2 linked regions of the Tribolium castaneum genome follow. The protein of the gene in region 1 interacts with the protein of each later gene in a pairwise test. Links are inferred from orthologs where the notes say so. Each region holds a gene or a part of one and is shown on either strand. Other genes may lie near its edges.

Evidence for each region.
Region 2: the proteins of methyltransferase-like protein 17, mitochondrial (region 1) and splicing factor 3B subunit 4 interact in binary tests that used the Homo sapiens proteins (3 or more experiments, as listed by UniProt). The link is inferred for Tribolium castaneum from reciprocal best matches to the Homo sapiens genes METTL17 and SF3B4.

What each region holds. Positions count from the first base shown.
Region 1 is NC_087394.1:11,237,594-11,242,186, reverse strand, and holds the start of methyltransferase-like protein 17, mitochondrial, read left to right. Parts: upstream 1-1,606; 5' UTR 1,607-1,693; coding exon 1,694-1,738; intron 1,739-1,790; coding exon 1,791-1,950; intron 1,951-2,009; coding exon 2,010-2,409; intron 2,410-4,593. Other genes in the region: PXo (solute carrier family 53 member 1), read right to left, coding at 537-798, 851-1,101, 1,231-1,384, 1,447-1,515. UniProt on the Homo sapiens protein: Mitochondrial ribosome (mitoribosome) assembly factor. Binds at the interface of the head and body domains of the mitochondrial small ribosomal subunit (mt-SSU), occluding the mRNA channel and preventing compaction of the head domain towards the body.
Region 2 is NC_087395.1:2,316,395-2,320,790, reverse strand, and holds the start of splicing factor 3B subunit 4, read right to left. Parts: upstream 2,975-4,396; 5' UTR 2,827-2,974; coding exon 2,793-2,826; intron 2,728-2,792; coding exon 2,644-2,727; intron 2,594-2,643; coding exon 2,319-2,593; intron 1-2,318. UniProt on the Homo sapiens protein: Component of the 17S U2 SnRNP complex of the spliceosome, a large ribonucleoprotein complex that removes introns from transcribed pre-mRNAs.

The sequences.
Region 1 (4,593 bases):
TCAGTTTAATTTCAACTATCGGTACCCAGGACATTGCTCGCTATTTTTGAATCACCCTGTATAGGTACATATATTTTTATAATAATGTTGACAACTTTTGATTGTAAGTAAATGAATAATTTAATTTTTTTGGAAACTTATTTTGGAAGATAGGAAAACACAGGTTGTCTAGTGAAGAAATGCAAATATTTCGACCAAGTAAACTGATCTTTTATATTTTTATTAAAACGTTTTTGTTTAAAAACCCACTCTTTATAAAATTTAACATCCAGTCGTTTTTTTAAAATAACCATCTAAAACAGTGGAAATTGTAAGAGTGTAGAACACTGCTATTGTCAAGAGGTGCTATGAAGGGCCCGTTGACACTGTTTCATAACTTACTAGAATTTGAAAACCCACTCAACTTAGAATTTTTTTCTCTTGTCATTTTTTCTAAAATGTACAGTTTTTTAGCAAAATAATAATTAAATGTAGAAAAATGTAGTTATTTTGTTGGCAACAAATTCCAGCAGCCCCTTAAATCAAATTCAAAATACCCGATATAATCACCGCGATCATGAGCACCACAAAAGACCCCGAAAACAGCCCCACTTTAAACGTCGTCCACGGAATTTGCTGTTCCCCCAAGGGCGGAACCCTGAGCCTTTTCATAGCCCTTTGCCGGTCGCCCCCTTCAAGCTCCTGAGTAACCGTACACTCAGTCTCTCGAATTAATCGGTCGATGTCTTTATTCGTATGAAAATGCGAATTTTCCACATGTTCCGCTCGCCATTTCGCCCCTACATCTACATTTAACAACTGCAACGTAAAATTACCAAGATAAACTTCCAACTTCCGTCACGTCACCTACTTTATCATGCTTTTTCAGGATTTTCCGAAACCCAGTAAAATTTAAATTCTGGTAATTTTGCAACAGTATTAGACTTAAATAAAATTCGCTAAATGCTAACTTCAACTCTTGTATTTTTTTCGCAGGTACGTTTTTCTTTCTTAGAATATTATTTTTTATAGAATTTTTCTTGCGTGGATATTCAACATCCTGAGCTTCAGTGAGATCACTTTTCAGACCAGCGTATTTGCGGGTCGCTTCGGCCAATTTTTCTAAAATTGTGTCAGAAAAATTGAATTAAAATAAAAAACCAAACAGGCGCTACTTTAGCTCGCAAAAAAATCAGAAAGCGTTGGCACTACTATTTCTTTTAAAACGAAAATGCCTTTTGGCGCTTTTACCAGAATAAAATGTATTGATCTTTGTCAGTTCCTTATCACAGTAGGAGAAAAACTGTTCGTCGAATTTTGCAAAATATCGGGTCAAAATTTCAGGCTCAACCAATTCCGCAGACGGGGCTTGTTCCACAGCAGCGTACAACATTGCCTTCATCTCCTACAAATTTTGATTTGTTTAATGAACTACCCCAAAGGCAATTAATTTTTTATCAAACTTACCTCGTAATTTATGTATTGTTTCCTCCATTCTGGAGTTATATGAGCACAGAGATGTTCAGTAAATTTCATTATTAGAATTCGATTAACCCATTTAGTTGTTTATTGTTGTGAAACTGACATTTTTGATAACTGGTCAAAAATCACAGTGACGTCGCGACGCCTGACGTCTAACATGACGTAAAGATTACTACTATACCGACTTGTCGTAAACATAACCTCCAAAAATCGAGTTTGAAAAATCCCAAGCATGGGTTTTTATCGAAAACGTATTATTAATTATTTAGTCAGAACGGTTTGTTATCATTAATGGAATTATTCCCGTCATAGTTTTTATAATTTTCCAGTATTCAACGAAGATAAAAACTCAGGTTATACCGGACGAAAGCGTTCTAAATAAAATTGAAAAAAATGTGTATACCCCCAAAAACCACCCAGGTCTGTTTAAACCACGCTTGATTCCTGTCCCAGAAGCGTTTATAAAGGCTGTTACTACTGTAATCGCAGGTAGACATAACCTTAAACACCTTAAACTCCCTGGATTTAGTACAATGTTTATTCTTTAGATTATCCAATAAAAGCATTAATAGAAGATGGTAAAACGTTAATTAACCATTTAAAATCCAAGAAACCCCCCGTAGAGAAGGACGAAATGAGGAAAATCGAACGCATAGTGTACCAGAAAGTGATGGAAAAACAGAAAATTCCTCCACTGGAAAGTGAAGAAGACAAAATCAGATTCCAGCAAGTGGTGGATAATAAAGTTCGGAATGTTTTGAAATCAGGATTTTACAACTGGAAACCTGTACATTATACTCCATATGAAGCTTTGGTTTATTTGATGTCCAGATCAGCTCCAGAGTTTTCCGTCCTGGCACGAATATTTCTGGAAATTGCTGAAAGGGATCCAGGGTTTGAGCCTAGGAGTTTGTTTGATTTTGGGTCTGGAGTTGGGACAGTCACGTGGTGAGTACAATACGCAGCTTTGTTAAAATTATCACATACTTAAAAAACATTTTTCTAAATTAAAGTAATATCGTTTGTAATAAAGTAAGGATGCATTTTTAACACATTTTTTAACGTTCTCATAAACGCTTAAAATTACGCTCGTAATTTTTATCTAACATTTTCACAATTCATTATTAATATTAATGTTATTGTAGTTTACAAATAGTTTTGGGTAATAACTAATCACTAATTACCCAAAATTGTACCAACTAGAGTTTCTTTATTGGGAGAGTTGGGACACTGAACGTCAAACCGAGCCAATTTTGTATTATGTGGATAAGGTATATATTTCTATCCTTTTTTATTAAAATTTTTGTTAGTAACTTATGTCAGAGGTTTATGTCGAAATTAATTTCAAGGTTATAATTTTTGTCAAATGCATAAAATGACATAATTTTACGTCAAATTTAACCAGGGACGTAGAAAACGTAGAAATTTTGGGATTACTATTTAAAAAAGAAAATAATTGAATACCTACTAATATTAATGTTCACATTTCTGAAATTTTTTGATATTTATTTTATTATTAAATACATAACTTAAAACATACTTCAGTGCTAAAAATGCTTTTCTTTCAGTCACAATTTTTAGTTAAACATCTCGTCCCAAAAATTGGTCATCAAGAACCCTTCATATTTTCTGTCGTCTTTTTAAATTTTCTAAAAAATGATATTGAAGGTGTTCTCGTATGAAAAACGTAACAAAATCGTGAATTCCCAATAACTTTCACGTAGATGCTAAAGGCGGCCAAGCAGCGACAGGTTCAACTTTTCTAAAAATTAGGACCAATTTTGGGTTCAAGTACCTACATATTTTATAAATGCATAGACAAATTCCCAAAATCTCATAGATTTTGTACATAACATTATTTAGACAATCCCCTTTTCCAAATGCTTGTTAATAATAAACGTAAAACTCGTCACGAAAGGTTCAATTTGTCTCTCTTTCATTGATGATTACCGTTTCTTAAAGTTAAGGAAAAATGTTTATGATGAAGAGTTTAGACGTAAAATTCTTGTACTTGCAAAGAAATCTCTTTTAAAATTTGGAGTTCATATAAAAAAAGCAGTGAATTGACGACGACTGCCAGTCTAAACCATTTCTAAACGCAGTTAGTCGACGAAAAATGGAGACATTTTTTGACAAATTTATTTGACTTTTCGTCAAATTTCAAGTGTAACACCACTGATTTCTATCCCAATTTGTTTTTTTACACATTCCAACCGACGTAAATGAAACAAAATTTCGAAAATTGACATTCAGTGTCCCAACTCTCCCAATATAGGAACTCTAGTACCAACATTCTGTAACGTAATAAATAAATAAACTCAAAAACTTGGTTACAATTATATAATTGTAATCAAGTTTTAGAGTTTATTTAAAAATGCTGATTTTTCCAAAAAAAAAGAACAATGTTAGTATATGAAAAATTTGGTTTTGCTGGTAAATAAAAATTGGTACTTTTCAGAAATTTTATAGAAATAAAATAATTAAATGCGGCAAATTCAAATTCCAGAAGCACCTGAGATCCTACACTCTTTTATAAAAAAAGTATTAATTCTGTTATACTAATTAATTACTGAGAAAAAATATTAAAACAATAATTCTTTGTTATAACATAAAGCAGGAATTTTTAATACATTTTTTTTAGTTATCCTAAAACTTTTTTTTATTATACTTGTAATTTTGTATATGTCAGTCTTGTATAACTACAATTAAAGTTTTTAGAATTCTTTACTACGATTTGAAAAAACTTAAAGATAAAAAGTTTGCTAGACTTTTGCAAGTTTACAAATAGTTCTGGATAAATACACAAAATTGCAGCAAGTCACTGATGTTTCTGAGTTTTTTTTTAATTTTAATTCATTTATTCACTGAAATAGTTTTTGTAAAAGATTTCTCTGAAATATTAATCTTTCTATTTAAAGTTTAAAATAACGCATAATTTTTTTATCTTTGTTAGCGGTCAAATTTAAAAAATAAAAAATAAAATGCTCCATTTTATAACGTTATTGGTTTTAATTTTAATTTTAGTGCTCTTGATTGTACAGTCTTTAATATTTCTGGTAAGTACAAAAAAATAAAATATAAAAATATTAAATAACGAAGATATAAAAAATATAATGATTTTTTTTTAACAAA
Region 2 (4,396 bases), on another chromosome or scaffold:
GTGTGCGTCATCAATTTCATTTTTTCATTACCAACACAAAGCTATAAAAAAATTATCAAAAACAATGCAAATTTAAACAGTTAAGGGCTATCTAAGGGTGGTATCCTTGAACATTGATTTACATGTGCACTTCGACAACACCGTCAAGTGTCACGAATTTGTCAAACTGACATTGACAGTAAATTACAGACGTCGTCGCTTGGTTGTCGAAAATGTTATCGGTGTTAATCACAAGTATTTTCTGTTCGTTTATTGTGTTTTGTGATTTGCGTTTCGTTAGGTTTTTGATTCTGCGTTTATTAGTTCTTGTTTTGTGAATCTGTATTTTTTGTAACAACTCATAATTTAAACACTTCGTAACCTCAAAAAATATTTGATAGTTTGTCACCGCTATGCCCCTGCTATGTAAACGTAGTGACAGAAATGTCAGATGACGCACACGCAAATGGAGCTGAGCGCTACCATATGTCTATAATTATTAAGGCCATGAAGGATGTTACAAAGCAATATTTCATTTCAATATACAATTCCGTTATTTGTCACCGGATTGTTATCAAATTAGAATGCACATATTTTAGGAGGTTGTCTTTCAATTAGGGGCAAAAAATGACCTCAAGTTAAGAAATGAAATTTTAAAACATTTCTTTTGTTTAAAATAAAGCCAAATTACCGTTGGATCATTAAACTCCGAAAAATAAATGACCACACAAAAAATTAACCAAATCGATCGGCTGATCCAAGAAAGAAATTAATTTTGTTGTTAAAAACTTAATCCAAATTTTGATTGTAATTTGGGCAGTCATTTTTTGAAACAATTGGTGAAGCATTTCTATGCGGCATTTTGTGTACCACTGAAAAAAACTGTCAAAAGTTTGCGAGCTATCAGAAAAGTAAAATTGTTTTAATTTGGTGAAATTACTTTAAAAACCAACCAATGGCTGAGATTTCTGTGTTGTTGAAAAAGGAATCAATATTCGCCTATGGAAAGTGTCGTTGGACTTTTTGTGAAATGTTATTTATGAAATTTCAAGTTCAAAGAATCGTCAATAATTTGAAGACACAGGAAGCGTACCTGAACTAAATCGAGTGAGTACAAAACACGTCACTGGAAACGAAGCAATAGTTGGGGCTGTAATTCAAGCTTTTGAAGAGAATCCAATCAGCAGTGTACGAAACATTTCCAAAGTCCTGAATGTTCAAGTGTCTAGAATTTTTCAGTTGTTGTTCAGTCTTTTCGTCCTTTTTGAAAGAATTAAAGCATCCAGTACCAAAAGTAAGTCAAAAATATTGTTTTTTAACTTTGTATGGGTGAGAGATGGTAGTGCTCATTTGTCTCATAGAGATCTACGCTTTTGCATCTGTACCCACGTTTAACAGTTTGTTTCTCATTTTTCTCGCGAAACAGATGTCTTCCACGAACGAGTTTTTTCTGACAGCATTTTTCACTGACGATAAATTTTTTAATATGTCTTAAAAGGCTTAACATTTTAAAAAGGCATGTAAAAATTCGTTTTTAAGACTTGAGTTTTTGCATTAATTGGATTTTAATCTTTATCTTCTAAAATATCTGCATTTTAAATTTCATGAAAATCCGTTGACAAATATCTGAGATATCAGGCTCGAAAGTTTTAGCTGAGACAACGCTTTTATCGATGTTAACTTAGTGTATCTTCGATAAAAAAGTAAATAATGCACAATTGCAATTTTATTATTATACCTTCACTTTAACATGCATTCTTTATTATCATTTATAAAACTATAAATTTTATGTTAACTGGTTTTAAGCAACATTATTTCCCAAATTTTATTTCTTTCTCACTTACGCAAATGTAAAGGAGCGACAGAATACACTGACTTCCGACGTTAAGAATTTTTGTATAGTGGCTTAAATTTTGGTATGCCAATGTCAGTTACAGAATTAGATACAGAGTGGAATTTTTAACAAGTATAAAATCCATTACTTTGATAAGTACATACGATTTTTGTGAAAATTCCGGAAACAAGTCAATTGCAGGCACCTTTAACTTTTTTTTCAAATGTAATGTAAATTTTATAATACCAATTTTTGCATTAACACGTTTGTCACTTAAAACAATGTCCCAAGTTTTCGTTAAAAATCGGTCATAGATGTATCAAACCAAGCCAAAAATTATAGTTAGTTTTGGCCTTTAACAGTGTTTTTGTACTAACAACACAACTTTTTTGAACAATATCACCAAACAAACAATAAAATTAGTCGAAAATGGTATTTTTACACTAAATTATGTTTTTATTTAAAATTTTGTTACAACAGACTGAAATAAGCATCCCTGACCTACCTTAGGTGTTTGAAGTATAACACCAAACGCCGAAAATGTATCATAAAGCAGCTTCTCATCCACTTCGGGGTCCAAATTCCCGATAAAAATATTCGCCCCCACGTCCAAGTTCTTCTGATGGGCTGATGCTTTATTCACTCTTATTGGCTTTCCATAAAGCTTTATCATGTTCATTATTTTTATGGCATAATCAGCATCTTCTTCACCCATGAACTCCACAAAACCATAGCCTTGGTGCATCATTGTTACGCGGTCTTTGGGCATGTGAACGTTGACTAAAATGGACAAAAATTGGTTTGTAAATTATTACAAAAATTATGCTTACCCAAGGGGCCAGATTGGACGAACAGTTCCCATAATAACGATTCTGTAACTTTATCATCTAAACCACCAACGTAAATTGTTGCATCTGCAAAAACACAAAAAACACCGGCACTTATTGGAATTTGTGAGGTTAAGTAATCGAAAACTTACCTCTGTTGCGTTCAGCAATCGGTCCATTAGCCATGATTATGAAATGGATATATCTCAATGTATTAATAGCAAAATTTTACTTCATCGCTTGATAAAAGAATGCTTATTTAATTAAATAAATAAACGAACCAAATACGCAAACCTTAGACGCAAACTTTTCTTTGCTTGTAAGAATCTTTAAAGCCGGCCGCGTTTCACTACTGTCTCGCCTTATTGGTGGAAAGATGGCGCAATAGTGGCAAAACTAGCGCTGTATTTAAAATGCAATTCCAAAAAAAGAAACCATACTATTACCAATTTTTTTGATGATTTAATGTCTTTAAAATGTTATTTTTGACCCTAACTATAAACTAAACAAGTTTCTAAAATTCAATAAGTAAGATAAATTATTTTTGAATCTGTTTCCGAGGAAATAATTCCCAGTGTTGGCAGATCTACAAATTGTGATTCTTCTGATGAAATCACATTCAAAAAACTGCTGTTTGATAGTAAATTTAAAAATAATTATTCGTTTTATTAGGAAACGATTATTTAGTGTAAAACATAAAAATCATTAAAAATAATGAAAACTGAAGAAGTTAACAAAATAAGTTTGTAGCTCCAGATTTTTTTAAATACGACTTAAGGAATTTTTTCAATTTTTTTTCCGGAATGTACACATGCTTCTTAACAAAGTACCACCAAGTTGGTGCGCAAATTTTTGAGCACTCTGTATAAACAATTCTTGAAAAGAATCAAAATGAATAAACAATAAATTAAGCAAAATTAAAATGGCATACTTATCGATGTTTAAACTGGAAGGTACAAATCCAAAAAAAAAACCCTGAATATTTCGTAAACGATTAAATATAGGGAAAGCTTATATAAACTATCTTAAAATAACTCCAGTAATGCAAAAACGCATTAAAAAATATATTTGGTTCACTTTCATAAAAACCATTGTGGTGGAAATTTGGTACTCTTGGCATTAACTTTTATATGAGTTGTCATGGTAACAGGTTAGTCAATTCCACCACAATGGTTTTTATGAAAGTGAACCGAAAATAGTCGATTTTTTTTATAATCAACTGTCTAAGAGCTGTCAGGTTGCCATTATCATAAATAGCAATTTTTTTGAATTAAGGTTGGTGTAATTTTTTACCTGGAAAATTCATTTGCCAAATTTTTCAAGTTCTCTCTAATTTAAAACACGTACAACAACACATTTAGTTATTTTAGACCACCTTTACACTAACGAATTAACGACTAACACTAACGTCCAATTTTCAAAAAATTTCAAATCTGGTGTTCAAAATGTCAAATACAGAATACAGCCAGTTTCAAAAGTGGTTGGACATGAACTTTTAGGGTGATACAGTCTGGTCTTTATTAGAATTTTGACACTGACAGTTGATTGTTTAAAAAAATGAACTATAGCTTTGGATTTAATATAAGGAAGTTAACAGTGACTTCCGGTATAACCATCTTGAAAATATTTTCATTGAGCAGGACTTTAATGATTATGGTCCTATACAAATTTTCAGATGACTATCATTTTTAGAACTCACAATACATCTAATGTAGGGTTTATTCGGAACACTCTGTATACCTACCGGGTGGCCCAC